Linked DNA regions of Canis lupus familiaris. The protein of the gene in region 4 binds, or shares a complex with, the protein of the main gene of each other region. Links are inferred from orthologs where the notes say so. Each region holds a gene or a part of one and is shown on either strand. Other genes may lie near its edges. The genes, in order: TOM1, GIPC2, CLTA, MYO6 and GIPC1.

Region 1 (5,523 bases), on a different chromosome or scaffold from region 4:
GTAAATATACAGAGATAGAGTACAGCACCCCCCCCCCCAAAAAAAAAAAAAGCATTAAATGACAAAACGGGACAACGCAGGTAGCCATTCGCACACGGCCTGGCCCTCCTTGGGTGCCCAGAAAGCATCTGTCATTCTCCTCCTCCTCCTCCTCCTCCCTGGCTCTTCCTGCCCTGGCTCTTCCCACCCTGGCCCCGCACCACACACCTGCACGCAGCTATCTGACTTTGTCCATCTGGCACCCCGCCGCCCCCCCCCCAACACACACACACTGTGACTTGTGCTCTCTCCTCTGCAGAGAAGGCAACAGATGGCTCCCTGCAGAGCGAGGACTGGGCCCTCAACATGGAGATATGTGACATCATCAACGAGACGGAGGAAGGGTGAGGCCTGCAGGAGAGACTGGAGTGGGGATGGGTGGGCCCAGGGATGGCCGGCAGCAGCCCAACCTGCCCTCCCCTCTGGAGGACTCCTGTCCCATCCCTGCTGTGGCACACAGGTAGACCCTGCTGGTGGCCCTTGGTACCAGGAGGGCTGCAGACATCGTCCAGGTCCCACCCTAGGCAGAAGTGTGGTGTTTTAGGCATTTGGGAACCAAAATCCCACCCAACACTGTCATTAGACGGACCAGAGAGAGACACGCCCCTGGCAGTTGTCAGGCCACGCGTGTTTCTCAGTGGTGGCCTGGTCAACTAGACCCCTTAGAACATCCCTGGGCCACATCCTCCAGGACAAGGCCAGCTGGCAGCCCCTGACATTGGGACATGGCCCCAAGCACCGTTCTGCATTCTGTGGCCTGGAATGGGCAGGGGGGGACTCCCAGCTTTCTCTATGAGCAATAGACTTTCATTTCCTTAAGATTGGGGTCAGGGGACACAGAGAAGACAATGACAGTAAAGCAGAAATGAGAACCCATCGGCGTTAGCCTCGCCTCAACATTTCCAGTATGCAGGTCACACCGGGGCGCATGCTGTGGTGGAGGCATCGTGGCCGTGGGTTCTTGGTCTCTGACTAGCTGTCACTGACCAGCCGTGTGACCTTGGGCAAGTCACTGTACCTCCCTAGGTCTTTATCCTCAGAGGTAAAGCTCTTTTAGATTCTTCCAGCAATAAGCCCAAGGTCCTGAATGGGGCAGAGAGGCCAAGCAGGGTCAGTGTCCTTCTCAGGAGAACCCAGAAAGGATGGGATATGGTGTGACCACTATAGCCATCAGGAAGGACGGCCTGACAAGGCCTTTGTTCTGGAAAATCAGAACAGCCGGAGCAGGACCTCTTCCATTCTCACTGGGATAATCCAGTTGGCCTGTGAGGTCCCTCTTAGCCAGGTAGTGCTTTGTGGGGAGAGGGGCCGGCTGGAAGCAGGCAGTGAGCAAGGAGCACCCAGCTCAGCACACAGTGGCTGCAGGCAGCTTCTGCATCCCCAGTGGTGCTCGGGGCTCTTGCCAAGCAGCTGGTAGAGGACACCTGCGCCACCCTGGCCTCCTGTGCATCAACTGGAGAGCGGTGAGCAGACGACAACAGCACTGAGATACGAGGACCAGACGAGGACTACCGAGATAAAAGGTGGAGGGCAGGGATGCTCACAGCCTCTGGGAAGGCCTGGGGGCTTCATGGATGTCCTTGGAGAAGCAAGCCCCCGCTTCCTCGTAAACATTGGTGGAACTGGGGCTCATGCGAGTGTGGGTTCAGTTGCTGCCGTTGATGTGAGCACTACCTGTGTTGCAGGCGCTGCATGAGGCACTAGGGACCAGCAGTGAGCAAAGCAGATGGGACCCTTGGCCTCACCAAGCTTGTCATCTAAACTCAAGTCTCTGGTCTACCCCGCACAGTGTTGTGGCCTCCTTGTCATCCACTCTGTGCTCCTGACCTGTTACTAGACACAAGAGGCCCCACAGCCATTGCACCTCAGCCAGGACTTCTGATTCCCAGTCTCTATGGGCCCCTCTATGAGAAGCGGAGACAGGTCCCTTTAGAGAGCTGAGGCTGCAGGCGAGGAGTTCTGAGGGTGAGGAGGGGCCCCAGTGCCCTGTCCTGGGAGAGGGGCCCAGCCCGCCAGAGAAAAATGAACATACAGCATGTCCTCTCCGTCACAGCCTTGATTAGGCCTCCATGGATCCTTCCCTCCTTCCCTGCCGCCTTCACCCATGTTGGGGGGCCCGTGTCAGGGTTTCTGCCTTTCCTGACTTGACCTTGACAGGGTCAGCACTGAACAGATGGCTGGCAGACATCCGGCCACAGGAGACATAGGAATCGTTGCTCATGCTCCTGGAGCGGGCTGGGCTCTGTCAAGGCAAAGTGTCAAAGGAGATGCCATCCCTGCCCTCTGGGAGGCACCTCTTTAGCCAGGCAGCACCTGGGTAGGAGCCACAATGCAGTGCGCACCAGGGAAATGGGGGACTGGGACAGCCTTGGGTGAGGCAGGTTTTAGCTGTGCCTTCACCAGGTAGGCATGGAAGTTGGGGGCCCCAAAGCTTTTTAGGCCAGAGCAGTTGGGGCCACATGGACTTCACCCAAACAGTGTGGAAGGACAGGACGCAGGGGTGAGGCAGTTCTGGTGGGGTGGGCGATAGGGTGGGGGTTCAGGCTGCCGCCAAGGCCTTCAGGGCTCCCTCCTGTACTTGGGTGTCTCCATCCTGCCTACCATGACCACTGGGCCTCTCCAGCCTCTCCCTCTGCCTCCCCACTCGGCCTCCCTTCAGTCCCTCCCACCCCTGCCTGAACCACTTCCCTTGCCGCCCACAGCTGTCTCCATCACTTCCTCACACCCAGCTGGGATGCCACCTCCTCTGAGAGGACTCCCCTGAGCCCCCTCCCCAACAGCCACTCTGACTGCAGGCCTCTCTCCCTCCCCACATGGATGTGGGTCTCCCCGGGACACGTGGTCCTTGAAAGCAGAGCCGCGTGTTCCCCAGAGTGTCCCCAGCACCCAGCATGGTGCCAGCACGTGTGGCTACTTAGACGAGTAGAAGGATGTGGCAGGGAGGCCAGGGAAGGGGCACTAGGACTCTATGCCTGCAGGTGACTGGTTCTCAAACCTCAGTGTACAGGGAGCCCCCGGGGGCATGGTGAGCACACAGCCTCCCCGAGGGCTTGGCTCAGGGTCTAGGCTGGGAGCCTGGGGCTTACGTATTTGACAAACCATCATGCCTCCCCCGCCAGGGGATTCTGGTGCAGGGGGTCCAGGGTCCATACACGGAGAATCCTTGCCAGGTATTTTGTGACCTACTGAGGACTTCTGGGGGCCAGGCAGTTTGTGTAGTGATTCAAACCTACGTGTTCAACAGGACACAGGACAAATAAATGCCATGGCCTGTGTTCCATGCCTCCTCACCTTAGTTAGGCAGGCAGCCCCATGTGTTGGATAAGAAGGTTCCATTCCTCAGCCCATCTTTCCCTTTGTCCTCCTGCCCAGTCCCAAAGATGCCTTCCGAGCAGTGAAGAAGAGAATCGTAGGAAACAAGAATTTCCATGAGGTGATGCTGGCTCTCACGGTGAGTGCCCTGTCCATCCGTGTGTCCATGGTAGAACCACACCTCCCCCCAGGCCCAGCAGGACTCCAGCCGCCCTGGGGCTCCTCTTGCAAGGGCTGGGAAGGAAAGGTCTGCGGGCGAAGCGCTGTCCTGTGTGTGCTAGGCAGATGCAGAGTGGCATGAGAAGCCACTTGGAAAAGTTCTCTCCAACCTGCTGGCCTGGGGAACAGACTGAGGGGCCCACATCTCTCCAGAACGGGTCACGGAGAGCTTGTGCCACAGAACCTGCCAGGTGACATAGAAGCTCAGTAAACCCAGACGTTGGCAGGGCAGAAAGCCTGGCAGGCCACACTGGGTGCTGACTGGCCCTTGAATGCCCTGAAAAATGAACATAAAGCAAATCCCAGTGGCTGAGGACAAGCCAGGCAAGAGGGGACATCCTGGCTGTCTCAGGAGTTTGGCTGGGATGGAGATGAGAGCACTGTGTCCCAGCCTCCCCTACAGCAGCACTCGCATCCAGGGAGTCTGGCTACGCTGAAAAGGCACTCGTGCCCAGCAGTAGGAACAAGAAGCAGGGAGGGAAGTTCAGTGCCTTTTTCTGGGGCTGCAGGGTCACCAACTGATTATGAAAGTTCACTTTGGTTTCCACTTGGAGAGCTACCCGCCCCCTGAAGTAGTCACTTCAGAAGCAGCATCAGGATAGGCACCCCTCAGTGGGGGCCGCTAACCAGCACACCAGCCCCCGAAACACGGCACGGTCCCCGCTTCTCTGGGTTCCAGAGTCTCCCTCTAGGGAAACGGTCCCCCTCTCAGCCCCTCTGGGATGGAGACCGAATGCGAGGATGGGGTCCTGGGCGCTCCCCCTCCCCTCATGAGTGCTCATGGGTGCCTCCCGGCCTCCAGGTCTTAGAAACCTGCGTCAAGAACTGCGGGCATCGCTTCCACTTGCTGGTGGCCAGCCAGGACTTTGTGGAGGGCGTGCTGGTGAGGACCATCCTGCCCAAGAACAACCCCCCCACCATCGTGCACGACAAGGTGCTCAACCTCATCCAGGTGAGTGCAGGCGGGCAGGCCGGGAGGGCGTTGGAGGCTGCCCCGCCATTGTTGCTCTTTTCCCCTTTGCTTCTGTCTGTTTCTCCTGCGGGGCCGTGTGGGGCCGTCTTGTTTATGCATTCACTGAAGGGTCTGAGTGTGGGGTGGCCTTGCTTGGCAGGGCCGTAACTCAGACACCAACAATCAGGGAGGGACTTTTTGCTCTCTGGGGATGGGCAGGCGGCTTACCAGGGAGACGGTGAACAGTGGTTACCGGCCGTGTCCCCTTCTCCCCTCTCAGTCCTGGGCTGACGCGTTCCGCAGCTCACCTGACTTGACAGGTGTGGTGGCCGTGTACGAGGACCTGCGGAGGAAGGGCCTGGAATTCCCGATGACCGACTTGGACATGCTGTCACCCATCCACACGCCCCAGAGGGTGAGGAGACGCCACCTGGGGAGCAGTGTGAGGGAAGGTGGGGGATCACCACCCACCCCACTGGCCTCGCTGATCCCACCTTCCACCATCTAGACCGTGTTCAGCTCTGAGGTACCATCAGGGCAGAATTCCGTGGGCACTGACGCCAGCCATGGAGGAGACTCCACCCAGCACACCACCTCCCTGCCCATCCCGGCCACGCTCCCCAGTGACACACCCATCACACCCACCGCTGAGCAGGTAAAGAAACCTGAGTCAGAGCCACGCGTGGGTCAGGGAGGGCCCCTCTCGGTATGTCATCGTAGCAGCCCCATAGGGTATGTATCATTCATCCTGTTTCAAAAATGAGGCTTAGACAAACTCCTTTGCCCGGAGCCACACACAGGTCCTCAGAGATGGTGGTGGGATTCAAGCTCAAGGGTGCCTGACTCCCAGCAGGCTCTGTCTTGCACCCCAGCCAGCGGTTCTCCAAACTGTGTACTGTGTACCGTGTACCCCGAGGAGCCCTTGAGGCAGCACCCAAGAGGGGATGGGGTGGGGAGTGCCCAACAGGCAGCCTCTTCAACCACATCACCTGCATTTTCTT
Region 2 (6,078 bases), on a different chromosome or scaffold from region 4:
CTACTATGATGACCAATACTTTATCCTGGATATACTTAACTATTTTTTTAAAGATTTTATTTATTTATTCATGAGAGACACAGATGCAGAGACACAGGCAGAGAGAGAAGCAGGCTCCCTGCGGGGAGCCCGATTCGAGACTCGATCCCAGGACCCCGGGGATCACCACCTGAGCTAAAGGCAGCCGCTCAACCACTGAGCCACCCAGGAGTCCCAACTATTCTTAATCCAAAGAGAAAACTCACATTAATGTTGGGTATATGCATAAGTAAACAGATATATATGTTTGGAGTTATAAAAAATACATGAACCTTGATACAGCAGGATTATGTTATCTTGGAATTTCTATCTCCTAATTCAGTGTGTTGGAAACTGAAAACACTGACAATGGCTGCCAAAGGTATCACAGACACCCTGGAAAACTTGGGAAGCAATACAAAATAGAAGTTCATGGAATTTGGAGTCAGGGAAAGCAAAAAAATACATAAATAAATAAACAAATACACCTGGGTTTAAACCAGGCTCTGCTACTCACTATGTAATTTTGAAAAGTTTGTGAACCTCAAAGCCCATTTCCTCTCTGAAGCAGTGATATCAATAATATTTTTTCAGGAATTAAGTGGATTGAATAAAGTCCCACACGCCATGGCTTCAGAATGAGGAAAGCTATTAATGCAAAGCATCTAAATCTGGAGCCGTTGGTTACAGGAGAAACATTTCAAGTTGTCAGTTAAGTATGCTAACAAACTCCCTTAGCTTAGAAACCAGAAGATCCAAGTTTAAATAACATCCCAGATTTTTTCTTGCTAGTTATGTGACCTTGGCCAAGGCCCAATCCCTTTGTGCCTCAGCTCCTCACTTAACTGTTAGATATTAGTAATACAAGTTACAATTTGTGAGGCAGGACCATGTACCATGCAATCTGATAAGTTTATATATGAACTCCAGTCTTCACAACCCTTCAAGGTAGATGTTCTCGTCTGGGTTCGTTTTTGTTTTGTTTTGTTTTGTTTGTTTCTTGAAGATTTGTATTTTCATGGAATGCCCACATCCAATATGGGTCTCGAACTCGCCACCCTGAAATCAAGAGTCACAGGCTCTACCAACTGAGCCAGCCAGGCACCCCCTTTCTTGTCCGTTTTATATTTGTCTGAAAATGAGGGAAGTTAAACTTGTTCAAGACCCCACAGCCAGTGGGTAGAACCTGGACTCCCATCCAGGCTTAAGCGTCTCCAAATGCTTTCCTTAGGTCCCCAATGAACTACACGCCACCTGCCTCTCCTAGAGGGAAGGACGTTATTCCTGTGAAAGTGCTTTTTGAATCTAAACGTCCATATGAACGCGAATTATTGTTACTTCTCTAGGTCAATATAAATAATTCACAAAATGCGGTTGTGCTTTGCTCCTCAGTGCCTGGGAACCCTGAAAGAACAAAAGGTTACGCTTCAGGCTCTCGTTCATCTCCCCTTGGAATTTTGCCGTGACCTCAATTTTACTTGAACAGGCCTGAAAAACAACATTAAAGATCAGAAACCCAAAGGCAGCTCTGTGCCCTCCCCGCAGTCCAGGGCAGCATCTCCTGCTTTTCCTTGAAAGGTGGACAAAATATTTCCTCGGGCCAACTTCTCTTAGGCTGGCAGGTCGCGGGGGAAAGCGTAGATGGAGCAGCCCCATAAACAGCCATAAAACTAGCGCTTTCCAGACCGCACCGCGCAGGCACGCAGGCAGCCAATCTAATGAGAAGTTCAGCCCCTTTTGACAGGAAAGGGGGTAAAACTCAGAGCCGATTTTCCCCCTGAAAGTTTTGTCAGCGAATCCCACGGTGCTAGCTCTACCTCTCTCCAGTCTTAGTCCTGCCCCCGCGGTGTAGACAACTTCCCGGGAACTCAACCAAAGGGATGCTGGAGCTCGGCGCGGACAAGCCACCTGCGGGGCTACGGACTCGGACTCCGCGATCCCGGCCTAAATCCCGGAGATGCTCGCCCCCCACCCCCCACCCCCCACCCCCCCGCTGAGGAGGGAGAGTAAAGTCCAGGAGAAGTGGCGGCTGCTACGAGCCCCGCCGGGTCCCCACTCCCGGGAGGCGCTCCGGCCCGGAAGGCACACGCGTGTGCAGGAGGAAGAAAGGCCGCCCCCGGCTCCCCGGAGGACAGGCCCAGGGAACGCGGCTCCCGGTCCCGGGCTCAGCCTTCCGCTCCCCCGAGGCCTCCCGCTCCCCCCGGGCGCCGTGGGCGGGCTCCGCGCGCCAGCACCCCTGCGCCTCGGCCCGTGGTAGCGCCGCCCGTGGGAGAGGAGGGGGGCGCGCCGGAGGGGAGGGGAGGAGGGGGGGAGGGGGGGAGCGGGCACGGAGGGGAGAGGAGGGGAGAGGAGGGAGGGGAAAGGAGGGGAGGGGAGACGAGGGAGAGGAGGGGAGGGAGGGGAGGGGAGGCAGGGGAGAGAGAGGAGGGGGGAGGGGAGGGGGCGCCGGGAAGAGGGGGCCGGGAGGGGAGAGGAGGGAAGGGGAGGAAGGGGAGGGGAGGGGGCGCGGGCACGAAGGGGCGCGCGTCCAAGCGAAGGGGAACGGAGGGGTGCGCATGGGGGGAGGGGGCACGGGAACGGAGGGGCGCGAGCCGGAGGGGAGGGGAGGGGAGAGGAGGGGAGGCAGGGGAGGGAGAGGAGGGGGGAGGGGAGGGAGGGAGAGAGGAGGGGAGGGGAGAGGAAAGGAGAGGGGGAGGGGGAAAGTAGGGGAGGGAGGGGAGAGGAAAGGAGAGGGGGAGGGGGAAAGTAGGGGAGGGAGGGGAGAGGAAAGGAGAGGGGGAGGGGGAGAGTAGGGGAGGCAGGGGAGAGAGAGGAGGGGGAGGGGAGGGAGGGGGAGAGGAGGGAAGGAAGAGGAGAGGAGGGAGAGAGGAGGGGAGGGGAGAGGAAAGGAGAGGGGGAGGGGGAGAGTAGGGGAGGGAGGGGAGGGGAGGCAGGGGAGAGAGAGGAGGGGAGGGAGGGGAGGGGGCGCGGGGGGGGGGTGCCGGGAGGGGAGGAGAGAGGAGGGGAGGGAGAGGAGACGAGCGAGAGGGGAGAGAAGGGGAGGGGAAGGAGAGGAGGGAGGGGAGGGGGGGAGGAGGAGGGGAGGGGAGAGGAAGGGAGGAGGGGAGAGGAGGGGGCCCCGGGAGGGGAAGGGAGAGGAGGGGAGAGAGAGGAGGGGAGGGGAGGGAGAGGAGGGGAGAGAGAGGAGGGGAGGGAGGGGAGGGGGTGAGGGGAGGGGGCGCGGGAGGGGAGAGGAGGGGAGGGGAGGGAGAGGAGGGGAGGGGAGAGAAGGGGAAGGGGCGCGGGCACGGAGGGGAGAGCAGGGAGGGAGGGGAGGGGCGGGAGGGGCGCGCGGGGCTGGGGCGGCGCACCTGGCGCTCACCTCGGCGGCGGCGATGTCGAACACGGCGGCGATCTTGGCGTAGAGCTCCTGGATGTTGGCGAAGTCCTCCACGCGGCCCGTGGGGCTGCCGTGGGCCAGCTGCGTGTGGAAGACCAGCCTGCGCTGGGCGGCCGGGGGCGCCGGGGGCGCCGGGGGGGCGGGGGGGGCCGAGGGGCCGCCGCCGCCGCCCGCGCCCACCGGCTCGACCTTCACGAGCCGGGCGGCCTCCTTGGGCTTATTGCCCCGCAGCCTCCGCCGCAGCCCCAGGGGCATCTCGCCGGGCCGAGGGGGCCACCTGCGCGCCCGCCGCCGCCTCTGCCGCTGCCGCCGCGGACTTTGCGCTGGGCCGGGGCTCGGGCAGGTGACAGCCGCCGCTCGGCCAATGGAGAGGTGCCCCCCCCCCCCCCCCCCCCGGGAGCGGCACCTGCAGCGCCGCGGCCACCTGCCTCCGGGAGCGCGGCGGGGCGGGAGGCTGGGCCCGTTCCAGCCTCCAGCTCCCGGGCTCCCCTCCCCACTTTTTTTTTTTTTTAATGGCCCGATTTCCGTCGGAGCCCTGAGATGCTGAAGCTGCCGAACCACACGTCTTCGAATCCAAGCACCCCGGCCCCTCCGGTGCTTTTCACGCGCCGAGGAAGGCGCCCCGGGGCCGGGCCCTGGGGACGGGATCCAAGGGGAGGCCCGGGGCTCGGCCTCCCCGCGGCGCGCAGGGCCCCGTTGGAAGGGGAAGGGGAAGGGGAAGGGGCTGGTGCGCGCTCAGGCCACAGCCAAACGCTCTAAGCCTCGGGGACCCTGCTTACTTCGTCCCTGGGCACTGTTGGCCCCCGGAGGCTCAGTGCTCTCCCCAAGTCCTGCGCGCCACCCGCGCCCACCTGGGCCCCTGCCGGGGACTCTCCTGCCCCTTAACCTACGGAGCAGATTGAAGCCCTTCTGTGCCAGGTGTCAGTTCCCCCCAATTCCCCGCCCCTCCGAGTAACTCCACTCCCCTCTGGTCTCCAAACTCCTAAGAAATCTCTTCCTTATATTTTTGACCCTTGCACTTGATCTCTGCGCCCTTCTGCGAACTTTTTTTTTTTTTCCAATTCCAGTATAATTAACGTATAGTGTTATGTGTCAGGTACAACATGGTGATTGAACAACTCTTAGGATCTCTATTTCTAAGCTACTTGCTAAGTCCTGTCCTGCTCTCCATCCTGTGCCACTCACTGGTGGTCGGAAGCCCAAGTCCTTTCCACGGTTTCCAAGGCCTACCTTTGCAGTAGCCTGGAGCTAGCTACATCCTCACAACAAAGCAAAAATAATCTCGACTGCTAGGTTGCTTTTCCTCACTTTCCCCTTAGCTCTTAAGACTGCCGGTGATCAGACTTTGCCCCCACACGCCACTGAAATTGCTTGTACTCTGATCACTTCTTAAACATCAGATATGATTAACTCTTTTCAATCTTTATCTTACTTGACCTTTTAGAGTATCTGACTGCACATTGACCATCTTATTCTTAAAACATGCCTCTGTTTTGACTTACCTCTCACGCTCCTTGCTAACTGCTACTTTCCAGGAACTGTTTGCTCTAAGGCTGTTATTTTTCTTGGCCATCTTTTTTTACTCTACGTGCTTTCCCTGAATGACCACATCTGTTCTCTTGGTTTCATAGATATTGTTGACCTCCAAATTTATATCTGCAGCTCAGTCTACCACAAAGGGAAGCAGGAGCCTCAAAGTGGGATTTTACAAACTCATCCTTTAACTCAAAGCATCTTTTTTTTTAACTCTTGATTTCAGAAAATAGGATAATGTACTCAGTAACACAAACCAGACATCCTTGACTCATCACACCAAACTTTTTTTCCTTTTCCCCCATTCTCACATCAGTTCAGTTCTGAAAATCCATGTTTCTCAAATTAAGGTTAGCAGATGTCCTGAAGGAGAGAGGGGATCTATTAATTCTTTAGGTTAATTTTAATATTTTTGTTTTATGTTTTGTTCTATGGCTGAAAATTTAGTATAAACATATTCCAGTTCATGTGGGCTTTAGAAATTAATATAAACGTAGTCTATTTCATACTCCCTGAAAATGGAATATTGCTACATGATCTCAGGACCTGAATTTGCCTCTGTGTTTATGATTGCTATAGCAACAAATAATATTACTTTCTTTTATGCTGGGAAAAGAGTGGAGAAAACCTAGTGTGTAAGGATGCATTCCCATCAAGTGAAAACCAAATAACTTCGTAATATGTTGTATGAATAGAGAGCTCACGGAAGTTTGATTAAAGAAAAGTAGGAAGAGAAGTGAGTCACCATGGGATATATGGCCAGTCCATTCTCCATATCCAAGCACTGTGTGGGAAAACAAGAGGGTGTGATATTAAGAAAAGCTTCACAGAATGCTTTTAAGCCATTTCAAATAAAATATCAAGCAGAGCAAAAGTGTTGGATAGGAAGGTTGGGTTCTACAGCCTTTGAGTTCCCTTTAATTTCTAAATCCATCTTTGCCTAGAAAGAGGCCTACATTAACTTCACCTTCATGTAGAATCTCACTTAAGGAACCAGCTATATTAGCCAGAGTCCCAGGAGAAAACAGATGGTACACTCAAATTAAGAATATTTGGTGATGGTATGACAAAGGGACTGTGCAGGTGGTGGTCAAGATATACTCATGACACATAGTATTGTATCCCAGGGCCATTTCTATCCCAAAGTC
Region 3 (5,999 bases), on a different chromosome or scaffold from region 4:
AGGGCCATTCCAATAGGGAAGACTTTGATCACTACTCCATACACAAAACTAGAATTCTCATCCCATACTTCCTCCTAAATCGCATGTTGCCTGTCCTTTAGAATTGAAAACTCATCCAAACCCCCAGCAAGTGCTTTGAGCTCTTCTTAGTTACTGTAGTGACATTCAACTGGCCTAAGTCAAAGAACTGCCTGTTGCTACAAAAACATGCAGAAAGATATCAAAGGCCCTGATTTATTAGGACAGCTAAGCTAAGAAACCAGATGCCCCCAAAGGAAACTTTGTAGGGCATCTCAGGAACTCCAGGGAGAAAAAAGGGCCAGTATAAGTTTCCAGAGAAGACAGACAATTTGTCCCAAACCTACCCACGACTTCCCATGGTGCCCATCCACTGAAGTCAAGCACATGTGGGTTGAATTACAGTGGAGACGTATTAGTTTGCTACCTTTGGAACACTGCTTAAGTTCCCTGATGATTCCTTATCTGAAATAGGATGCCACTACCTAGCCTGCAGTTACTGCACGGATCTGAAGCTACAGAGAACCAGCATTCATTAAGCGTGCAGTACTACAAACTATCACATGTGCAATTTCCCTGAACTTCCCTCGACCACTGCTACCAAGAAAATTCATCTCCTCTTCCAGAAAGCTTTAATTTATTTGCCTTTCTTCCTCCTCCTCCAAGGAGAGACTTGTCAGAAACAAATGGTGCCTCACTGCCACACTCACAGCAGCTCCTTAGTCACCTTTTTTCCTCCTCCCTCCTCAGGAAAATTGAGGGCTTTTCAACAGCTCTAGACTCATGCTGCTTCTTCTTTCCTCACCACTTGCTCTTCAATATTTGATCCACTTCACTCTGCTGGTCACCCCCCACTTCTAAACTACCTCTTCTCCAGGTTTTCTAACAACTGAAGGAGTCCTTCAAGGCTCAGGCCTTCTGGTTTCTGCCTGCTATCATCCTTCCTGGGAGTTTCCCCAGAGCCGGGAAGAGTTTAGCTATGTTCCTCTTTATCCTCCATCTGTTAAGAGCCTCCTGCCGATGTAGCTCTGGTATAGTAACACATCAGATACAGGGCTCCCTCCTAAAATCGGTTTCCTCAGCACACCCCAAAGCCTATAGGCTTTATAATGCCTCCCTCCCCCTACTCCTGAGGAATGAGTATAGTCAGGTACTGGGGCAGTGATATACCCAGTACTGCGTGTATGCATTTTTCAGGTACTAATGTAATCCTAGCAACCTTGTGTGGTATAGATCTGTACATTTTACAGGCGAAAAATCTAAGGTAATGCAGTGGTGGTTACCTAAGTTGCCTGAGACCACAAAGTTAAAAATCACACTCAAGCAGTTTAGGTAGCACAGAATCTAAACCACTAGCATGCCTCTTTCAAAGGAAAGAAAAGTGTCCAACTAGTTCTCTACTCCCCGAAGGAAGTGCTGACCATTGCACTACTGCCGACCTCAACAACACTGTCAGAGGTCTGGCTTCAAATCACTAAATGCTTAGTCCACTAAGAAAGTCCTTCCTAGAAACTAAGTCAGCAATCATCCTTTCCTTCCCTTTGCTGAAAGCTTAATGCACAAGAAACCTGTGTGTCCATATCTACCCTCTCCCTTTTACCTCTCCAAACTGCCGTCATCAAGATTTGTCTCTACAGGACTCTTGGCCCTGGTATTTTTGTTCATGACTTTGTGAGTTATCTACTATGTGCCCGGGATACAACTGTAAGCAAGAGTAACATTGTCCTTGAATCGGGACAGTTTTCTAGGTACAGGTCCAGATTCTCCCAACTCCGTCCTACCCAAGACAGCCACACTGCCTTTCAGAAATGACAGTCTGTTGTACCATGTTACCCCTGCTGAAACAACTGCACCAGAATATGGTACGGTCTACGGGTAGGGAAACTGAGGGCATAGCTAGTAATTTGCCCTTTTTTCTTAAGCAAGTCATTTCTCTGCAGGGCTCAAGTTTTCTTTTATTAAATGAGGAGCAGTAAACTAAGGATCTAAGAAGTTAATTTTTAGGATTCTCAGGCAAATGTTAATAAACACCACCCAACAACAAAAACCCTACTAAACCTAACTTCATCTCCCAGCCACAACTCAGGTCACTCCAACCTGCCTGCTGTAATTCACATTTACAGGTGTATCATATGTTCTCGTGTAAGTTCTTATGCGGGGGCTGATTCGCTTAGGAGGTAACATGGTGCAGTATAAAAACTCTGAGGTTTCAAATGAACAGTCTCCTTACCCCTACACACAAAAATGGTTCCACCTGACTGGCACAGTAATTTGAAATTTGAGTCTGCTTTCACAAAGCACAACTTTAGTGCACCAAAACCTCAGTCTCCAGCACTCCATAGTGTCCCATTCCCAGCAGGCTTCTCTCATTTATGTCATCTGCCTGGCTCCTTAAGGTTTGAGGTTAGAGTAATATAAACACTCCTATCAGCCCCACCAGCACCCTATTCTCCTTTAATTTGAATAGTTTAAGTAAATGAAAACCCAGGTCTCATTTCTTCCAGCTAATTTCCTACTTCCTCATACAACTGAAAAGGTCTCTTCCACTCCTCTTTTCTTCCCACCGTAATTCCAAGTATCACACAAAGGTAAGGCATTCAAAGGTCAAACCCGCATCCTATTGCTATTTTTTTTGTCACTTTGCTTGAGTTTGGCTGGGAAAAGGCCACACCACATTCTCTATTCACCTTTTGGAAGACCAGTCTAGGCTAATCTTAAATTCTGCTTAGGCAACACTGCCCTACCAAAGCTGTTCTCAGAGGAAGTAGAGCTCCAGAAATACCGGCCATAATCCGATCGACAAAAGGTTAAAACTCTCACCCTTCTTTGGCTGGAGTTTTTTCGTCCAGGATTAGATCACCTTTCGAGTTCACTATTCACGCCTCCTTCCCTCCCCATAATCCAACATTCTGCATACCTGAAGTGCTTAAATGCTGATTTGCGCTGCTATTTTTGTTTGTACATATCTCAAAAAACGATACTACTATAATCATTCTTTCTGCCCTCCTTTCCTAATAACTAGTTCCGTGCCGGGCTCAGGCTCGCCTTTAAGTCTGGCCAAAAACTGCGCCAATGCGGCTGTTTCAAAGCCCCAGGCTCAAAGCACAGCAAGTGCTCATTGAAAAGTTCCTGAACTGAATGGGCTTCTTCGAGCTCTTCAGCCGGACTGTCACCCAATTTTTCTTAGCTTTCTCGCTCTGCCCCGTCCGGGGGCACTCAAACATACTCCTACCACTGAGCAGGCTCCCCGAACCTAGGTTTCTGCTATGACTGGGCCGGGGTCTCGTTTCCTCTTTGCACCTTCCTTAATCTCCCGGTTCAGCAAGAACCAAGAGTTACAGAGAGCGCTCAGACCCACTCAGGGCCCATTCTATACAAATCGTCCCGCCCCAAACGCGGCCGCACTCTCACCCGGAACCCCCGGCGGCTCGCCGTGCGGCTGGGGTCCGGGGGCACCGCCGTCCAGGATGGCGAAGGCCTCGTCGTTCTCGATGCCCGCAATCTCGCTCTCCTGCTGCGCCAAGAAGGCCGCGGCCGGGTCTTCTTCGCCGGCACCGGCCACCCCGTTCCCCAGCGCGGGGCCGCCAGGAGCGCTGGCGGGAGCGCCGAACGGATCTAGTTCAGCCATGGCGGGCAGTTCAACGGCACGGACACCGGCGTTGAGAGACAAGCCAACCGACCCACCAACACCGCGCCCCGCAGCGGCAGCTGTGGCGGCGACCGCGATCCGACGACAAGCGGGAGGGAGAAGGCGGAAGCGGAAACCCTGCCCGTATATCCGGTTGGTGTAGGCGGTGTGGGAGAGCCGGGGCGGTCACAACCAATCAGAGCACAGAAATCGTTGCCGAACTGCCCAATCAGCAGGCGGAGGGGCGGGTCCCCGAGGAAAACTCGTGACTCGGGCTGCGCCGGCTGTGAGGGTGGCGAGCCCAGCGAGGCCCCAGGGAGGCGGAAGTGGCTTGACTTCAGCGGCCTTCCCCGCTGGGCCTTTGGTGCTCCCTGACCCTGGACTGCCGCTTCTGAGGAGACCCCAGGGCCCAAGCCAGAGGTGAGGTGAAATGAGGGCGGCAACGATCGTCGGTCGACTACCGAGGAGGCAGGCTCCTTAGGCTTTCTGAACCCCGGTTTCCTCGTTCGTGAATCCTGCACTGCATCCCTCCCAGGCTTCTTGGGAAGAATGAATCCTCTCATGGCTGTGTACTGGCTTTATTAAAAACTTTGTATTTGTTAATTCGTTCGCCTCACCTGGATTGTTTTCCCGTGTGGAGCCGCCTGACTTAAACGTGGTGGATTCAAATCCACTCTGATTTTTCTACCCCACGGTATTCTAAAAAGGTGACTATCTCTCCTTTCCAAAGCCCTTTTGCAGCCAGTACATCTTATCAGGGCTAGACGGAAGTTTCTTTTTTTTTTTTTTTTTTAAAGATTTATTTATTCATGATAGTCACACAGAGAGAGAGAGAGAGAGAGAGAGAGAGAGAGAGAGGCAGAGACACAGGCAGAGGGAGAAGCAGGCTCCATGCACCGGGAGCCCGACGTGGGATTCGATCCCGGGTCTCCAGGATCACGCCTCGGGCCAAAGGCAGGCGCCAAACCGCTGCGCCACCCAGGGATCCCTAGACGGAAGTTTCTAGAACTGAAACACTCCTTAGGGACCACCTAGGAATTTCCTAGGGAAACAGACCCCTCTATTGGGAAGGGATTAAAATCACACAGGAAGCCATCAAGAGGAAACCCAGGTCTTCTGGGCACCTTGGTAATGGTACAGCCTCCTGGATGGACGTATCTTGTCAGCCTAAGAAGAGTGAGAGCTTTCTCTAAAATTCCTTCAGTATCTTATCTTACGTCAGGGGGTTTCATCTACAGCATAGAAGTGATACTGGGTGATCACAGTTAACCGTGTTCTTGTTGAGATAAGCAATGGCCAACAGGAGGACCTCTCTCCTTCACCACCACCACTCCCTAAAAAGGAAAAAACAAAAACCAGCCAACCAGAGGTCAAAGATGTCTCCAGAGATAGCAAGGGACAGGAAAGTGGTTTTTAAAAATACACGTCTTCAGTGGCAAAAAGAGGTAATTGTTTAAAGCATGTATTTTTAGTCATTTTAAGTATGGAATGTAGGAAAATTGTGAAGAAAAACATTGGACACCTAAAATTTTGGGCCCTGCAATTCAATTTTCTCCTCCCACTTCTTGTTTAATGCTCATCCCTAACATAAACATATTATCGATAACCTATGAAGTAGTTTCACATTCATCTTTTTGGAAAGAAAGGCTGCTTTAAGTTAATCACTCCTGCCCTGGGCAGAAGATAATGGGAAAGGATGACCATGAGAGGGTCCAAAGAAGACAAGTCTGGATGCTCACAACCGTGGCTGAGGGACAGACCGCACTCACTCCTGAAAATAGATGGACACAGCTGAAAACAAGTGTGGAGTCAAGTCAGGGAGGGCTTGAGTGCCCAGGTGAGGATTAGTACTGAATTTCACCGGTTATGAGGAACCTTTGAAATACTTTAAGCAGGCAATAACCTAGAACCCTGTTCTGAAAGAATCTTCTGGCAGTGTAAGCATATGAGAGGGTTCTGAAAGCAGAGAGGTCTGTTAGGGAAGGTGCTGCAGTTGAAGCTGCAGTGGTTCAGGAGGGAGGACCAGGGCCAAGATATTTCAGGGAACAGAGCAGTGGGCTCTGATGGAAAGAAAATAATGGAGGGAACGTACACCGAGCTTGGTAACTGATAGCATTTAGGAGGCAGGAGAGTCAGACAATTGGTTTTTTTAGATATATTTTATTTTAGAAAGAGAATGTGAAAGCTGGGCAAGGAGGCAAAATCTCTCTGAAGGCATCAGGGGATTACCAAAGCAGTGAGCAAGTGTAGGCCCAAGTTCTAGGAGAGGAGGGTAAGCCGAGAAAAGTGATCCTAAGGTTTGGAGCTATTTTTTCTCTCAAGGAGATTGTTCTAAAAGCAGAGACTGAGAAGC
Region 4 (6,302 bases):
CTTCTTACCATTTTTTTTTTAAGATTTTATTTATTTATTCATGAGAATACACAGAGAGGAGAGAGAGAAGCAGAGACACAGGCAGAGGGAGAAGCAGGCTCCATGCAGGGAGCCCGACTTGGGACTGGATCCGGGTCTCCAGGATCATGCCCTGAGCTGTAGGCGGTGCTAAACCGCTGAGCCACGGGGGCTGCCTCTTCTTACCATTTTTCTTCTCATTTACCCAACCACATTCTACTGCTGAAATGACTCCTACACTTTGTTACAAAAGATGGACTTTGTGTGCTCACTTTCATCCTTTATGTCTTTATAGCTCAAAGGACATTCCTGAAATAAATGAAGGCCATAAAAAAAACTGTTCTAATAGTACAGGTGACAATTTAATCATACTTTGAAAACAAGCCCCCCTGCGCAAGGGTTACGAACTTAATTATGTAATATTTAAAAGACAGTACTGCATTTATGGACAACGATCTCATTTGAGAAAAATAGAAAGTTCTATCTGAAACAGGAACATTGTACTATTCATTTTATCTACAAAGAAAACCAGTGTTATATTACAGTCTAATTCTAATTCCAATAAACCCACCAAAATAAAGTACACGATTTGTATAATATTCTGGTATTTACATCAGAAATGATAAAGCAACACCGTATTACTGTTCAGAGTTGTCAACTTAATGAAAAAAAAACAAAAACAAAATTCAACATTAGTTTCAGAACCACATTCATGACCCATATCATCCTCACTCCTGTGTGCCTTCTTTAACACAATACCAGTTCTGCAGGTTTATTTAAACAGTCTACCAAATGAACTAAGATCAAGGCAACCTGGTCTGGTGGAAAAGACAAGGGTTTCGTGGTCAGAAGACTTAGGTGTGAATCCAGACTTTGTTCCTCTGGAGCTGTAAGACCTTGAGCAAATATTTAATTCTCTAAGCTTAAATTTCCTCATGTGTAAAAGGACAAGACCACCAACCTTGAAAATTATTTTGTAGATTAAATCTCTCAGTGTTCTGATTATACCAGATTCCTATATGGTATAGGAATTATACCAATTCCATCCAGTGGGTGGGTGATGATCTTATACTACCAAAGGGCCAGTTCAGGGGCACCCGGATGGCTCAGTTGGGTAAGTGTCTGCCTTTGGCTCAGGTCATGATCCCAAGTTTCTGGGATAGAGCCCCCGCATCTGGGAATCTGCTTCTCCGTCTCTCTCTGCCCCTTGTGTGCTTGCTCTCTCATTTTCTCTCAAATAAATAAATAAAAATCTTTTTTTAATTAATTCATTAATTTTAAAAAATGAGGGCCAGTTCAGAATTATTATGAAGTACATCATTAAAGGGATCACAAACTGTATGAGAGTTAGCAAAGCAGTAATACCATTTTTAGTCTTTTACTGAAAATGTTTTCATATACAAACATGAAAATTTCACAGAGGTCAGAAATCTTTTTAAAACTGACATTTTTAAATATCAAAATGAAGCTTCAATTATCAACAGTGAAAACTGGTTAATTTTCTAAAAAATGTTTTGGGTGCTTAGATTTATCCAAACCTCACAAAGCAAAAAAATTTAAAACTTTCTTAAAAGAGCTGTACTTTAGAACCCAGAGACAGCCCAGTTATCTAAACAATGGGCTACATGATACACCACAGTCTCCAGGCAAAGTCACAACAGGATGAGAAAAGAGCCTTCAGCCTCTCTCAGATTTCCTGGCCACTGTTATTTTAAAACTTGATCACATAAACATAAACAGAGGGAAAAAATCCACTTCAGATAAGCGCCATGGGTTATGACTTATGATCTGTTCTTAATACATCATATTAATTTACATTAAATATTACAATAATGCATTACACTTTTCTTGTTCATGCTTCTGGACTAATGAAGAATACGTGTATTACAGTTTTACATAATATGTATTTAGAGTTTTTAATCCTGTAATCTCTTTCTAAAGTTCTTTTACTTCTTTTTAAAATTACCTTTTGAAAACGAAAAGGTAACTCAAACTGGGAGAACAATGTCACATAGAACACACAAACGCAATAGGCAAATCTGCCTAAGACTAAAATGACTTGTTTACCACTGTGTGTATAATTCCTGCGCAATTTAAAATACTCAACATGAGCTGTATATTTAAAAGTCAATGAGTTACTTTGAATGGCTGCATTGTTTCAAGCTCTGGCTATAGCCCAATGTGTAATGTTTCTAAAATTAATGATAAAAAATACCAAGGTAATTTTTTCACGAAGCAATTTCCAAATATAAAACCACAACCCAAGGTATCTATGAAGTTTAGTTAATTTGTACAGATATGCTGTTTTCCTGCCAACCTTTGCACCATGACCATTCCAGCCCAAGTTCAAGATTCACATTTCATGGTGTGAAGAGTTTCAACTAAACCTTAAGAATTTTTAAAACTTTCACACCCTGACGATACTCAGATACTTTGCATCTACACCACCAGAGCATAACAGCAAATGAAACTTTTATTTAGCACGTACAGCAATCTGTGAAGTTGCGGCAGTGCTCCTAGCTGCTCACTAGTATCTGTAGATTAGGATGCATACATTCCTCCACTACAACTTTATGCCCCATAAAACGTAACCTGTCTCCTTAAACACTACAGAAATAGTATTTCCGACACGGATGTGCCAGTAATAACCCTACCAAATTACTTCCTACTTAAAATCCCGGGGTTGGGGATCCCTGGGTGGCTCAGCGGTTTAGCGCCTGCCTTCGGCCCGGATCGAGTCCCGGGATCGAGTCCCGCATCGGGCTCCCGGCGTGGAGCCTGCTTCTCCCTCTGCCTCTCTCTCTCTCTCTCTGTCTCTCTCTCTCATGAATAAATAAGTAAAATCTTAAAAAAAAACATCCCGGGGTTGGAGCATCTGAATGGTTTTAAGGAGTTTTTGGAAATTAACAAATATAAAAAGCTCTTGTTCGGTAGCACAAATGTCCATTAACATACTCAAAGTACTGGACCACCTAAGGACTAAAATTATCCCGTTCAGACGGTCCCACCCGGTCTTCTACATGACTAGACTATCAATTCGACAGTGGCCGGCACCTGATACGAAGGTATCTCCGAGCAGGCGGCACTGTTCCTGCGCTGGATTTCAAGCTTGTTTACTCAAGAGAAAGAACTACCACGGGGCGTCCACGTCCGGGTGGGGCACCGGAGTGCTCTGCTACCCGGGGGCAGGGAAGGGACCCACAGGTAGCCTGCTGACGACAGACCCGTGAAAACCAGAACCAGCCCCGCACCGCCGTGAGCCGCCGGCCGGGCCCAGCCGGCACCTGCCTCACCGCGCGCATCCCGGGCGGAGACCCGGCCGTCAGCCCCGGCGGCGGAGGCCCGAAGCAGCGCGGCCCGGGGACGCGAGGCCCGGACGCCGACGCCGACGCCGACGCCCCGAGGAGCGGCCCCGCGCCACTCACCGGGGTGGCCGCGAGCGCAGGTGCGCGGAGGCGAGGCTACCTGTGGCCGGCGAGGTGGAGGGCGGGGTGAAAGGTAACCAAGTCGAGCGCGAAGGGCGACTGCGTGGACAGGCTCGGAGACGCGGCGGCGGCGGCGGCGGCGACCGCGGTCCTGCGAGCTTCCTGCTCGGACAGATCCCGGGGCCGTCTCCGCCCGCCGGCCGGCGCCCCGCCGAGTCCCCGGCCCCGGCGCGCGCACGTCACGGCTACGGAGCGCCCAAGGGGGCGGGGGCGCCGCGGGCCGGGGCGGGGCGGGCCGGGGCGGGGCGGGCCGGGGCGGCCGGGCACGGGGGGCGCAGGCGCGCGCTCCCCGAGGGGGCGCTGGGCGCCCGCAGCCCCCCGCCCCGCCCCGCCCCGCCCCGCCCCGCCGCGCCGCTCGCCCCCGCCCCCGCCCCCGCCCCGCGGCGCGCAGCCTCCCGGGCGGAGGTGGGCGCGCTGGAGCGCGGGAAGGGGCCGCGGCGGGCCCGGCCGGCAGCCTCGTTCCTCCCCCTGCGGCACGGCCTTCCTCGCCGCGGTTGTCTCCAGCCCGGGTGCGGAGACCGTGGAGTCCGGCAACAGCAAGAACCAGTTCACGGAGGGAGAAAGGTGTTCAGACGCGGCCAGGACCACGCGCTTTACTCGAGGGCGTTGTTGCGGAGGGAAGAACCGCTGCTAACTAGGCTCCGGTCCGGGTCGGCTTGGGCTGCGCTGGGCTGGGCTGGGCTGAGCTACGCTGGGCTGAGCTACGCTGGGCTGGGGTGGGCTGCACTGGGATGCGCTGGGGTGTGCTGGGCGCTGGGCTGCGCTGGGCTGTGCTGGGCTGAGCTGGGCTGCGAGGCGCTGGGCTGTACTGGGATGCGCTGGTGTGTGCTGGGCGCTGGGCTGTGCTGGGCTGTGCTGGGCACTGAGCTGCGCTGGGCTGCGCTGGGCTGGGCTACGCTGGGCTGGGGTGGGCTGAGCTGGGCTGCGCTGGTGTGGGCTGAGCTGGGCTGCGCTGAGCTGGGAGGCGCTGGGCTGGGCTATGCTGGGCTGCGCTCCGCTGAGCTGGGCTGCTCTGGGCTGCGCTGGGCTGGGCTACGCTGGGCTGCGCTGGTGTGGGCTGAGCTGGGCTGCGCTGAGCTGGGAGGCGCTGGGCTGGGCTATGCTGGGCTGCGCTCCGCTGAGCTGGGCTGCTCTGGGCTGCGCTGGGCTGGGCTACGCTGGGCTGCGCTGGGGTGGGCTGAGCTGGGCTGGGAGGCGCTGGCCTACGCTGGGCTGAGCTGGGCTGCGCTGAGCTGGGCTGCGCCGCGACAGGAGCAGTCTTGCTCTCTGCTTTGGGTGGCAGAGGGTCTGAGATGGAAATTTTGTATTCCTCCGGCCCCCGAATCCCCATTTACTGACTAGAACCCGATCTTCTCTTTTACTGTTTTTATAAGTGACATACCTGTAAATCCTCTTTGAAAATTAAATATGAAGTGGCTATGCAAAATTGAATTATATGATGAAAACATACGTCGCCTTTACAACGAAATGAAATGGTAATGATTAATTGTAATACTAAATGTCTCCGTTGAAAAAAGTTAAGAGGACCTACACAAGATAATTACATTTTTTTTTTCCTCAACATTTCTGAGTGGCAAGTAGGAAACTTCAGGAAATCTACAAGATTCTGATAAGAGACAAATTTCAGATACTCAGTTCTTCCACAGTTCTTTTGGTGGAAAAGATAAGTTACGGTGAGATATTACGGTGAGATAGAAACTACTAATAATGAAGTAGGGAAGTAAGAAAGAGGAAGAGGAACCAAGAAAGGAAATAATTTACAGCAATCTCAGAAATTTAATTTCTGATTGCCAGGAGGTAGGTCTTAAATGTATAAAACTACATTTCAAACAAATTGGAAAAAAGAAAAACAAGAATAAGAAGAGAGTAATATCTGTTTACAGCTTTGAGTTCCTTTTGGACTTAAGATTTAAAAGCTACGTGAGTAATAACTTGTGATTTTTTTTTCTCTTGTTCTCCTTTACTCCCACTTCCATTACTGAGTCCCTTTGCTTCAAGTTCCGTATCTCTTGAATGTATCCAGTTCTTCTTTAGAACCACTACCATTATCTTATTTCAAGCCACCATTATTTCAGATCTTGCATACTACTTTAGCCAGCTAAACTTTTCACCAGGCTGCAATCCTGTCCCCTTATAATCTTCTCTACAATGCCACCAGGTTTATATTTTACAAAAGTCTATGTAATCCTGTTTTTAAACTCCTATAGTGACACTCCACCTTTAGTATAAAATCCAAATTAGTTAAGATGTGTTATGTGAGCCTTCCATTGTTTTTGTTTAAGAAGCACAGTGGGGATTTCTCTTGTTTTTTTTCTTAATTGAATTTTAATACCTTTTCATTGTTCCTCAGTTCATCACTGTCTTAAACCCCCAAAAGCTGTCCTAAACCAGGCTTATTCAGTTACCTGCTTGCCTTTGGAATCATTTGCATTTTGGATCACTGTCTTAGCCCTTCTTTCCTATCCAGTCTCATTTCCACCAACAGCCTGTCTCCATTTCTTGTACTTTACACAAGCCATTTTGAAGTACTGGTGTCTCCAGAAAAAAACAATTATGCTCTTTATGACATTGGAGTGTTGCCAAGCTAAATCCAATGAATCCTTCAGAACAAAAACTGTTTGTCCCCTCTAAGTTTTCCTGGGGCCCCTGGCTGATTCAGTCAGAAGAGCATGCAGTTCTTATCTCAGGGTCCTGAGTTCAAGCCCCACCTTGTGGCCTTAGATTACTTAAATAAATTTTAAAAACTTTTAAAAAGGAAGAAGTTTTCTTTAATCCTCTTATCTAACACTTAGGTGCAAT
Region 5 (6,064 bases), on a different chromosome or scaffold from region 4:
CCCTCCACGGTCTGTGTCAACAGAGCAGCCAGAATGATCCTGTAAAACAGAAGTCACGTCACATCCGTCCTCTGCTCCAACCCCTCCCAGGGCTTCTACCTCCTTCAGAGTAAGAGTCAACATTCTCCTTTCGACCCACAGGCCCCAAGAGATCTGCCCCCATGGCCTCCCTGCCCTCACCTTCACCCACTCTCCGCCTTGCTCATCCCTCTGAGGCACACTCAGCCTCCTAGGCTCAGTGCTTCTGCGTTTGACTCTGCCTTCTGGCATCCACACAACTCATCCTCGCATCTCTTTCAATGCAATGGGATATATATTTCATCCACTATTCTTGTCTGCTGTTTTCCGAAAGGCAAGGAATTTTGTCTGCCTTATGCATCCTTATACTCTTAGCACAGAGAACACTGCCTGGTGCATAGCAGGTGCTCAATAAATACTTGTTGAATGAACGTATAGATGAATGATCCTAATATTCATCAGCCCATCAGTCCCTGTGCCTGGCTTTGGGGAGACAGAAGGACCCAGGCTATAGTCCCTGCCCCAAGGGGGTCTTGTCTCACCAGCAAAAGAGCAAGCGCCCCCCTGTGGTCCTCATCCCTTGCTTCCCAGCATAGTGCTGGGGACAGGGTAGGTGCTCCTTCTAGCCACACTGATTTCTCCCTCACCTTTCATCATGGTTTTGTTTTCACTCCCTTCATAATCAAGGATGCTGAACAACTTTTTTCTTTTTCCATGGGGGCAGGGAAAGGTTGGGGTGGTGGTGGAGGAGAACCTTAAGCAGGCTCTACAACCGGTGTGGAGCCTGATGTGGGGCTTGATCTCACAACCCTGAGATCATGACCCGAGCTGAAATCAAGAGTCAGACGCTTAACCAACTGAGCCACCCAGGCACTCCAGGCTTAACAGCTTTTTTTTTTAAAGATTGTATTTATTCATGAGAGACATACACAGAGAGAGGCAGAGACATAGGCAGAGGAAGAAGCAGACTCCCTGCGGGGAGCCTGATGCAGAACTTGATCCCTTGACCCCAGGATTATGCCCTGAGCCAAAGGCAGACGCTCAACCACTGAGTAATGCTTAACAACTTTTAAGACATTTATTAACTGCTTGGATTTGTCGTTTTGTGAATTGTCTAAGTCTTTGCCCATTTTTAAAAATTGCACAGTTTGTTTTTTATTGTAATGCCTATATCTTTTTCTTTTCTTTTTTTTTTTAAGATTTTATTTATTTATTCATGGGAGACACAGAGACAGAGAAAGGCAGAGACACAGGCAGAAGGAGAAGCAGGCTCCATGCGGGGAGCCCAATGTGGGACTCGATCCTGCGTCTCCAGGATCAAGCCCTGGGCTGAAGGTGGCGCTAAACTGCTGAGCCACTGGGCTGCCCTGCCTTTATCTTTTTCTTATTGATTTTTGGGAATTGTTTACATATTTGGGATACTAGTCTTTTATTGATTACTTCATCTAACCATAGCACACATCACACTAAGCATTCACCTAATATCTGATAAAAAACAAATTCTGAATGAATAAACCCATACTGCCCCCTCAGATTATTACAACACACTCAGTGATGCTTCAAACCAAACCAAACCAAACCCCTCATCATCACCTCCCCTGTTCTCCTCCTGCTGCCCCTCATACATCTTAGCGGGATGCTGAGAACATGAGTCTGGAACCTGGTTTCTCCACTTATTAGCTGTGTGACCTTGGGCAAGTATCTTAACTTCTCTGAGCTCCAAGGAGGGTGGCCTGGGTTCAAATCCCATCCTTGCCACTTACCAGCTGCGTGGTCGTGGGCAAGTGTCACTTCATGTGATGGAGCCTCAGTTTTCTCAGTCGAAAAATGGGTGGAATTCCTGTCTCTCTCCAGGTGCTTATGGGAATCCAAAGAGATTGTGCAGACAACCCGATTAGCATTTTGCCTGACATTCAATTTAAGAAAACTGTTACTAGTATTGTCATTATTATTATGGCCTCCTCCCCTGCCCACCCCACCCCCCCCCCCCCCACCGCCCAGGAACATCCCAGTCTGTGCTTCTGCTGTCTGCTGTCCGCGGAGGCCTAGTCTAGGTGGCCTCCTCCAGGCAGCCTCCCTGGCTTGCCCCAGCCTGCTGGAACTGCCCCTGTGGTCCAGACAGCTCAAGGCCCATGAACTTAATTACACATTATCCCGGCAGAACTCTTGTCTTTCAGTCCCAGGCTGCTATTTCACTTCGTGTCTCTATTTTAAAATGTAAACCAGATCACGTCACTCCCCGGCTTCCAATCTTACAGCGGTCTCCTACCTTTACAGAGGAAAAGCCCCAAACTCCTTAATATGAGCCACAGGCCCCTGCAGAACTGCCACTCTGGCGGCAGCTCGTGCCCCCACACACTATCCCAAGCTCCATCCAGCCTCAGAGTTTTTGCCCAGGCTGGGCCCCCTGCCTGACCTTTGCTGGGCCACCTTCTTTCTGTCATTTAGATCTTGTCTCCAAAGTCGCCTCCTCCAAAAGCCACCCCCTTTACCACAGATTCCACCCGGCCACCCCCCTCATATTTTATTCATAGCACACGCACTTACTACCATCCGCGGGTACTGTCTTTATCTACTTGTTAACTTGCTTGCTGCCCTTTTCCCCACTAGGACGGCGGCTCCCACAGAGCAGGGATTTTTGTCTTGTTTGCTATTATGCCCTCTGTGCCAAGGACAGTGCTTGGCCCATGGGAGGTGCTCAGTAAATGTTTGCAGAATGGACGGGTGTGCGTGCCTCGTGTCCTCATTCAGACTCCTCTCTGAGCCCTCCTATCCTCAGAACATGCCTGCTGTGGGGTTGCTAACTGACACTTCCTCCCCACATTCCCAGTGTCCCCTCAAACCTGAACATAGGGATGGTGGAAAAAGTGTCAGCCGGGGGTCCAAGCGCATTGGCTGGAATCCTAGCATCCCCACCCTCGCTTCCCTGGGAGGGGCCTGAAACTTAGCAACCCCACCACCAAGCAGAATCACAGTGAGGGCAGCAGGAAGTGGGGAGGGGAGTTCCTGGGAGTTGACAAAAGCTTGGGTGGGGGGAGAGACACCACACCCAACCTCCCCTTTCTAGTAGGATACTGCTTTGGAGGGGAGGGCGGGAGGCGGGAGGCAGGGAGGCGGGAGGCCTCTGATTCAGTCTTGAAAAACCGGCTCCCGGGTGTTTCCGGGGAGAACGCCTACTGCCTGGGCCTCAGCGCAGGCTTTCCAGAGGGGCCCAGTGGGCAAAGGACCCCAGCATCCAGGCCTCCTATGTCCCCTGCAGATGTCACTCTCTTCTTAGGACCTAGGTATTCAGGCAAGCCTTCCCAGGTCCGGGGAGGCAAGACAGGGTTGGTGTCCGGGGACCTCTTGGGGGGAAGCAAAGACCAGCAGGTGTGGCCCAGATACATGCATGGTTGGGGGATGCAGGCAGCAGCGGGCAGAGGAGCTGGTCGGGAACACCTGAGCCACGGAGCCACTGGGCCACTGATCCATGGAGCCATCTAGTCTAGCGGCTGAGACTCCAGTTCTGGACTCCGAAGCACGGGTTCGAGTTCCAGCCCTGCCACTTACTAGCTGTGTCACCTTGGGCAAGTCACTCCACTTCTCCGGGTCTGTTGCTTCACCTCTAAAAGAAGTAACAGCACCTTCCATGAGGTGTTTGGACGCAACGATGTGCATGGTAAATACCTGACACGGAAGCGTCCAGTCAGTGCTAGCCGGGGGTGATTTTTTCATGATTATTACCGGGACCTCAGTCCTCTCCAGGTCCCTCTCTCGGCCCTGGAGGGCCGCGTCGAGGCCAAGGTGGGACGAGGGAGGTGCCCGGGCAGGACTCAGAAATGCCGAGCCCGCCGGGACGGGGCTGTCCAGGGCAGTGCAGGGGGCAGGGTGGGCTGCCGACCCCATCTCAGAGGCGGGAGGTGTTTGACCCCGGCCCCCGGCGGGAAGATGGGCGCCTCCGGGGGAAGGGGCCTCAGGCATCCTGGGGCCCAACCTAGACCTCCAGCAGCGACCCCGGGGCCGTCCCCCCGCTACTCGCTCGATCCGCCGGATCCCCATGGGTCCGCGACCCCGCGGGCCCGCGCTGGGGTCCCCGGAGCGGCCGTGCCCCGCCCGCAGGGACACTCACCTGCGCCGCCGCCGCCGCCACCCGCGCGCTCCGGGCTCGGCCCTCCGCAAACTCCGGCCCGGGCCTCTCCCGCAGCCGCGGCCGGGGGGCGGGGCCAGCGCCCGCAGCGCGCCAATCAGGAGCGGCCGCCCGACGCCCGTGGCCAATCCGCGCCGCGCCGCCCAGCGCCGGGTGGGCCCGACGGAAGCATTCCAGAGGGATCCCTCCGCCTCGCCCGGCTCCTCCCGGCCCCCCCGCGCCGCGGCGCAGTGGACCTGCCCACCCTGCCGAAAGCCGCGGCAGGCTGTACCACCGCAGGGCGCGGAGGGGGGACCTGAGGCTGGGCCCCTGCCAATCGCGGGGAAGGAAGGAGGCGAGCAACCAATGGGGAGCTGGGGTCCCTGGCCCACGTGCTGCCGGCGGAGTGTCCGTCTGGGGTGTCCAGGGTGGTAAGGAGCGGGAGGGCCGGTCGTGGGAGTCAGGTGACGCGGGCCGAGTTTCGGGCAGAGGCTAACTCGCCACGTCCGGAAGAGCTGACCCTTTAGGAGACCTAGGAAGGGGCCGAGGGCAGCCCCCGATCCCAGTCCTCCTCCCTGTCTGCGCCTGCCCCAGCCTGGCCATCCTGTGAGCGGATAAAAAGGATGCATTCATTCCGGGCGGGCGAGCGGGCGGAGGAGCGAGATGAATAGGGAGGGTCCCGAGTGTCCCTGCTTCCTGGGGTGTACAATGGACAAGGGCATTTATTCATTCATTCATTCATTCCCTCACTCGTCAAATATTTCATGTGCCCCTGCTCCGTGCCAGGCTCTGTCCTACGTCTGCAGCTACTAAAGCGAATAAGCTGAATGTGCTTCTGGTGGAGGTAACAGCTCGTGCAGAAGGCCTGAAAGCTGGACTGAGAGATACAACACATTTTGGGAGAGTGCAATATCCTAGGAGCTAGCAAAACTGTGTGAAAGGGTGCATGGAAGGAAGACAAGATCGAGATGGACTGCTCGCTTGTTGGTTAAATCAGTGAATATTTACTGAACACATAATATGTGCTAGGTTGTAAAGGGTCCCCAACCATTCCGAGCCTCTGCCCTTTCATGAGGCTGTCTCCTCCATCTAAGTGCCCCCTCACCCCTGCTGGGGTCCTGAGACTGGCAGTGAGCAGCCTCTCAGAGCACTTGTGTGAATGAGAGGACCAGGTGACCTCGCCATCACCAGGTTTGGTGAGGCCCCGAGACTGGGATGTCTCAGGCAAGGGTAGGTCCAAGAAACAAAGACACAGATGCACCTTGTACAGACCAGGATGCTCAGTTCCCAGGACAGATGAGCTATCCTTGCTCTACTTCAAAGCCAGCCTCTGGGGCAGTTGGGGCTGGACCAGGAGCTTGCTGTGTGTTCTGGGAATTGTAGTTCTTGGAGGCCTCTAACAGCTGCAATTCTGCTCAGGCTTCATTGAATGACTGGGTCTCTGCAGTCCCCAGGGTGAGCTGTTGTGCATCCCAGCCCCACCGGGGCCTACAGAGAGGCAAACTGAAAGAGGAGAGCGGGGCCGGCTTAGCTGCTGAGGGCTGCGAGTCTGGCCCCACCCAGCTGGCAAACGCTGCCACTGTTGATGCAACAGGCACCGCTATTGTCCTTCTCTTCCTGTTCTGCTGACCTCTGCCATCCCCACTGAGTGATCAGTTGCTATGGCTGGGCCTCTGTGGGACTGTACCCACTGCCCTGCTTGTGCCTGGCATCTGAGCTGCCCTCTACAAACCCGAAGAGGACAATATGTGGGGCCATGGGGACAGCAGAGTCCTGAGCAGAATCCACCTGAATCCACCTGTTGACTGATGAGGAAGTGCCTAAGGAGGGGTGAGGGTGTTGCCCAAGGGTACAGAGCAAGCCACTCTTTATCCAATTTTATAGTTCAAAGGGCTAGTAGGCCCAGAAGCTGGGGAGCTCAGACTTCAGTGTTACTACCTC

The links.
Region 1: the proteins of MYO6 (region 4) and TOM1 are in contact, whole or in part, in a crystal structure (PDB 6J56), measured with the Homo sapiens proteins. The link is inferred for Canis lupus familiaris from reciprocal best matches to the Homo sapiens genes MYO6 and TOM1. Residues at the interface, in NP_001355794.1 of Homo sapiens: Ile1182, Phe1184, Trp1202, Gln1214, Glu1216, His1218, Asp1220, Lys1221, Pro1222, Ile1224, Leu1226, Glu1234, Met1235, Cys1236, Leu1238, Glu1242, Thr1243, Gly1244, Leu1245, Arg1247; in NP_005479.1 of Homo sapiens: Ser440, Glu441, Phe443, Phe446, Leu447, Arg450, Ala451, Ala453, Ala454, Asp455, Leu457, Pro458, Asn459, Leu460, Ser461.
Region 2: the proteins of MYO6 (region 4) and GIPC2 are in contact, whole or in part, in a crystal structure (PDB 5V6H), measured with the Mus musculus proteins. The link is inferred for Canis lupus familiaris from reciprocal best matches to the Homo sapiens genes MYO6 and GIPC2. Residues at the interface, in NP_001034635.2 of Mus musculus: Ser1055, Lys1056, Trp1057, Lys1058, Tyr1059, Arg1084, Arg1085, Leu1086, Val1088, Tyr1089, Trp1092, Lys1093, Asn1096; in NP_058563.1 of Mus musculus: Glu255, Leu256, Tyr257, Met258, Gly259, Ile260, Asp262, Asp264, Leu265, Thr268, Thr289, Leu290, Asp292, Phe293, Ala294, Pro296.
Region 3: the proteins of MYO6 (region 4) and CLTA are in contact, whole or in part, in an NMR structure (PDB 6E5N), measured with the Homo sapiens proteins. The link is inferred for Canis lupus familiaris from reciprocal best matches to the Homo sapiens genes MYO6 and CLTA. Residues at the interface, in NP_001355794.1 of Homo sapiens: Met1053, Thr1054, Pro1055, Met1058, Ala1059, Met1062, Ser1087, Trp1089, Lys1090, Tyr1091, Glu1113, Arg1117, Leu1118, Val1120, Tyr1121, Trp1124, Asn1128; in NP_009027.1 of Homo sapiens: Glu47, Asn48, Glu50, Ala51, Phe52, Ile54, Leu55, Asp56, Gly57, Gly58, Ala59, Pro60, Gly61.
Region 5: the proteins of MYO6 (region 4) and GIPC1 are in contact, whole or in part, in a crystal structure (PDB 5V6E), measured with the Mus musculus proteins. The link is inferred for Canis lupus familiaris from reciprocal best matches to the Homo sapiens genes MYO6 and GIPC1. Residues at the interface, in NP_001034635.2 of Mus musculus: Ser1055, Lys1056, Trp1057, Lys1058, Tyr1059, Ala1060, Arg1084, Arg1085, Leu1086, Val1088, Tyr1089, Trp1092, Lys1093, Asn1096; in NP_061241.1 of Mus musculus: Glu273, Ser274, Tyr275, Met276, Gly277, Ile278, Arg279, Asp280, Glu282, Leu283, Thr286, Asp310, Phe311, Ala312, Pro314, Glu316.

Annotation. Positions count from the first base shown.
Region 1 is NC_049231.1:29,799,811-29,805,333, reverse strand, and holds part of TOM1 (target of Myb protein 1), read left to right. Parts: intron 1-298; coding exon 299-383; intron 384-1,724; exon of another isoform or gene 1,725-2,004; intron 2,005-3,411; coding exon 3,412-3,490; intron 3,491-4,372; coding exon 4,373-4,522; intron 4,523-4,802; coding exon 4,803-4,937; intron 4,938-5,030; coding exon 5,031-5,177; intron 5,178-5,523.
Region 2 is NC_049227.1:69,375,011-69,381,088, forward strand, and holds the start of GIPC2 (PDZ domain-containing protein GIPC2), read right to left. Parts: upstream 3,653-6,078; coding exon 3,380-3,652; intron 1-3,379.
Region 3 is NC_049232.1:52,990,300-52,996,298, reverse strand, and holds the start of CLTA (clathrin light chain A), read right to left. Parts: upstream 3,787-5,999; 5' UTR 3,647-3,786; coding exon 3,430-3,646; intron 1-3,429. UniProt on the Homo sapiens protein: Clathrin is the major protein of the polyhedral coat of coated pits and vesicles.
Region 4 is NC_049233.1:37,583,366-37,589,667, reverse strand, and holds the start of MYO6 (unconventional myosin-VI), read right to left. Parts: upstream 3,662-6,302; 5' UTR 3,484-3,661; exon of another isoform or gene 3,444-3,483; intron 1-3,443. UniProt on the Homo sapiens protein: Myosins are actin-based motor molecules with ATPase activity. Unconventional myosins serve in intracellular movements. Myosin 6 is a reverse-direction motor protein that moves towards the minus-end of actin filaments.
Region 5 is NC_049241.1:48,542,288-48,548,351, reverse strand, and holds the start of GIPC1 (PDZ domain-containing protein GIPC1), read right to left. Parts: upstream 4,221-6,064; 5' UTR 4,127-4,220; intron 3,623-4,126; 5' UTR 3,568-3,622; intron 1,925-3,567; exon of another isoform or gene 1,876-1,924; 5' UTR 1,782-1,875; intron 40-1,781; 5' UTR 1-39. UniProt on the Homo sapiens protein: May be involved in G protein-linked signaling.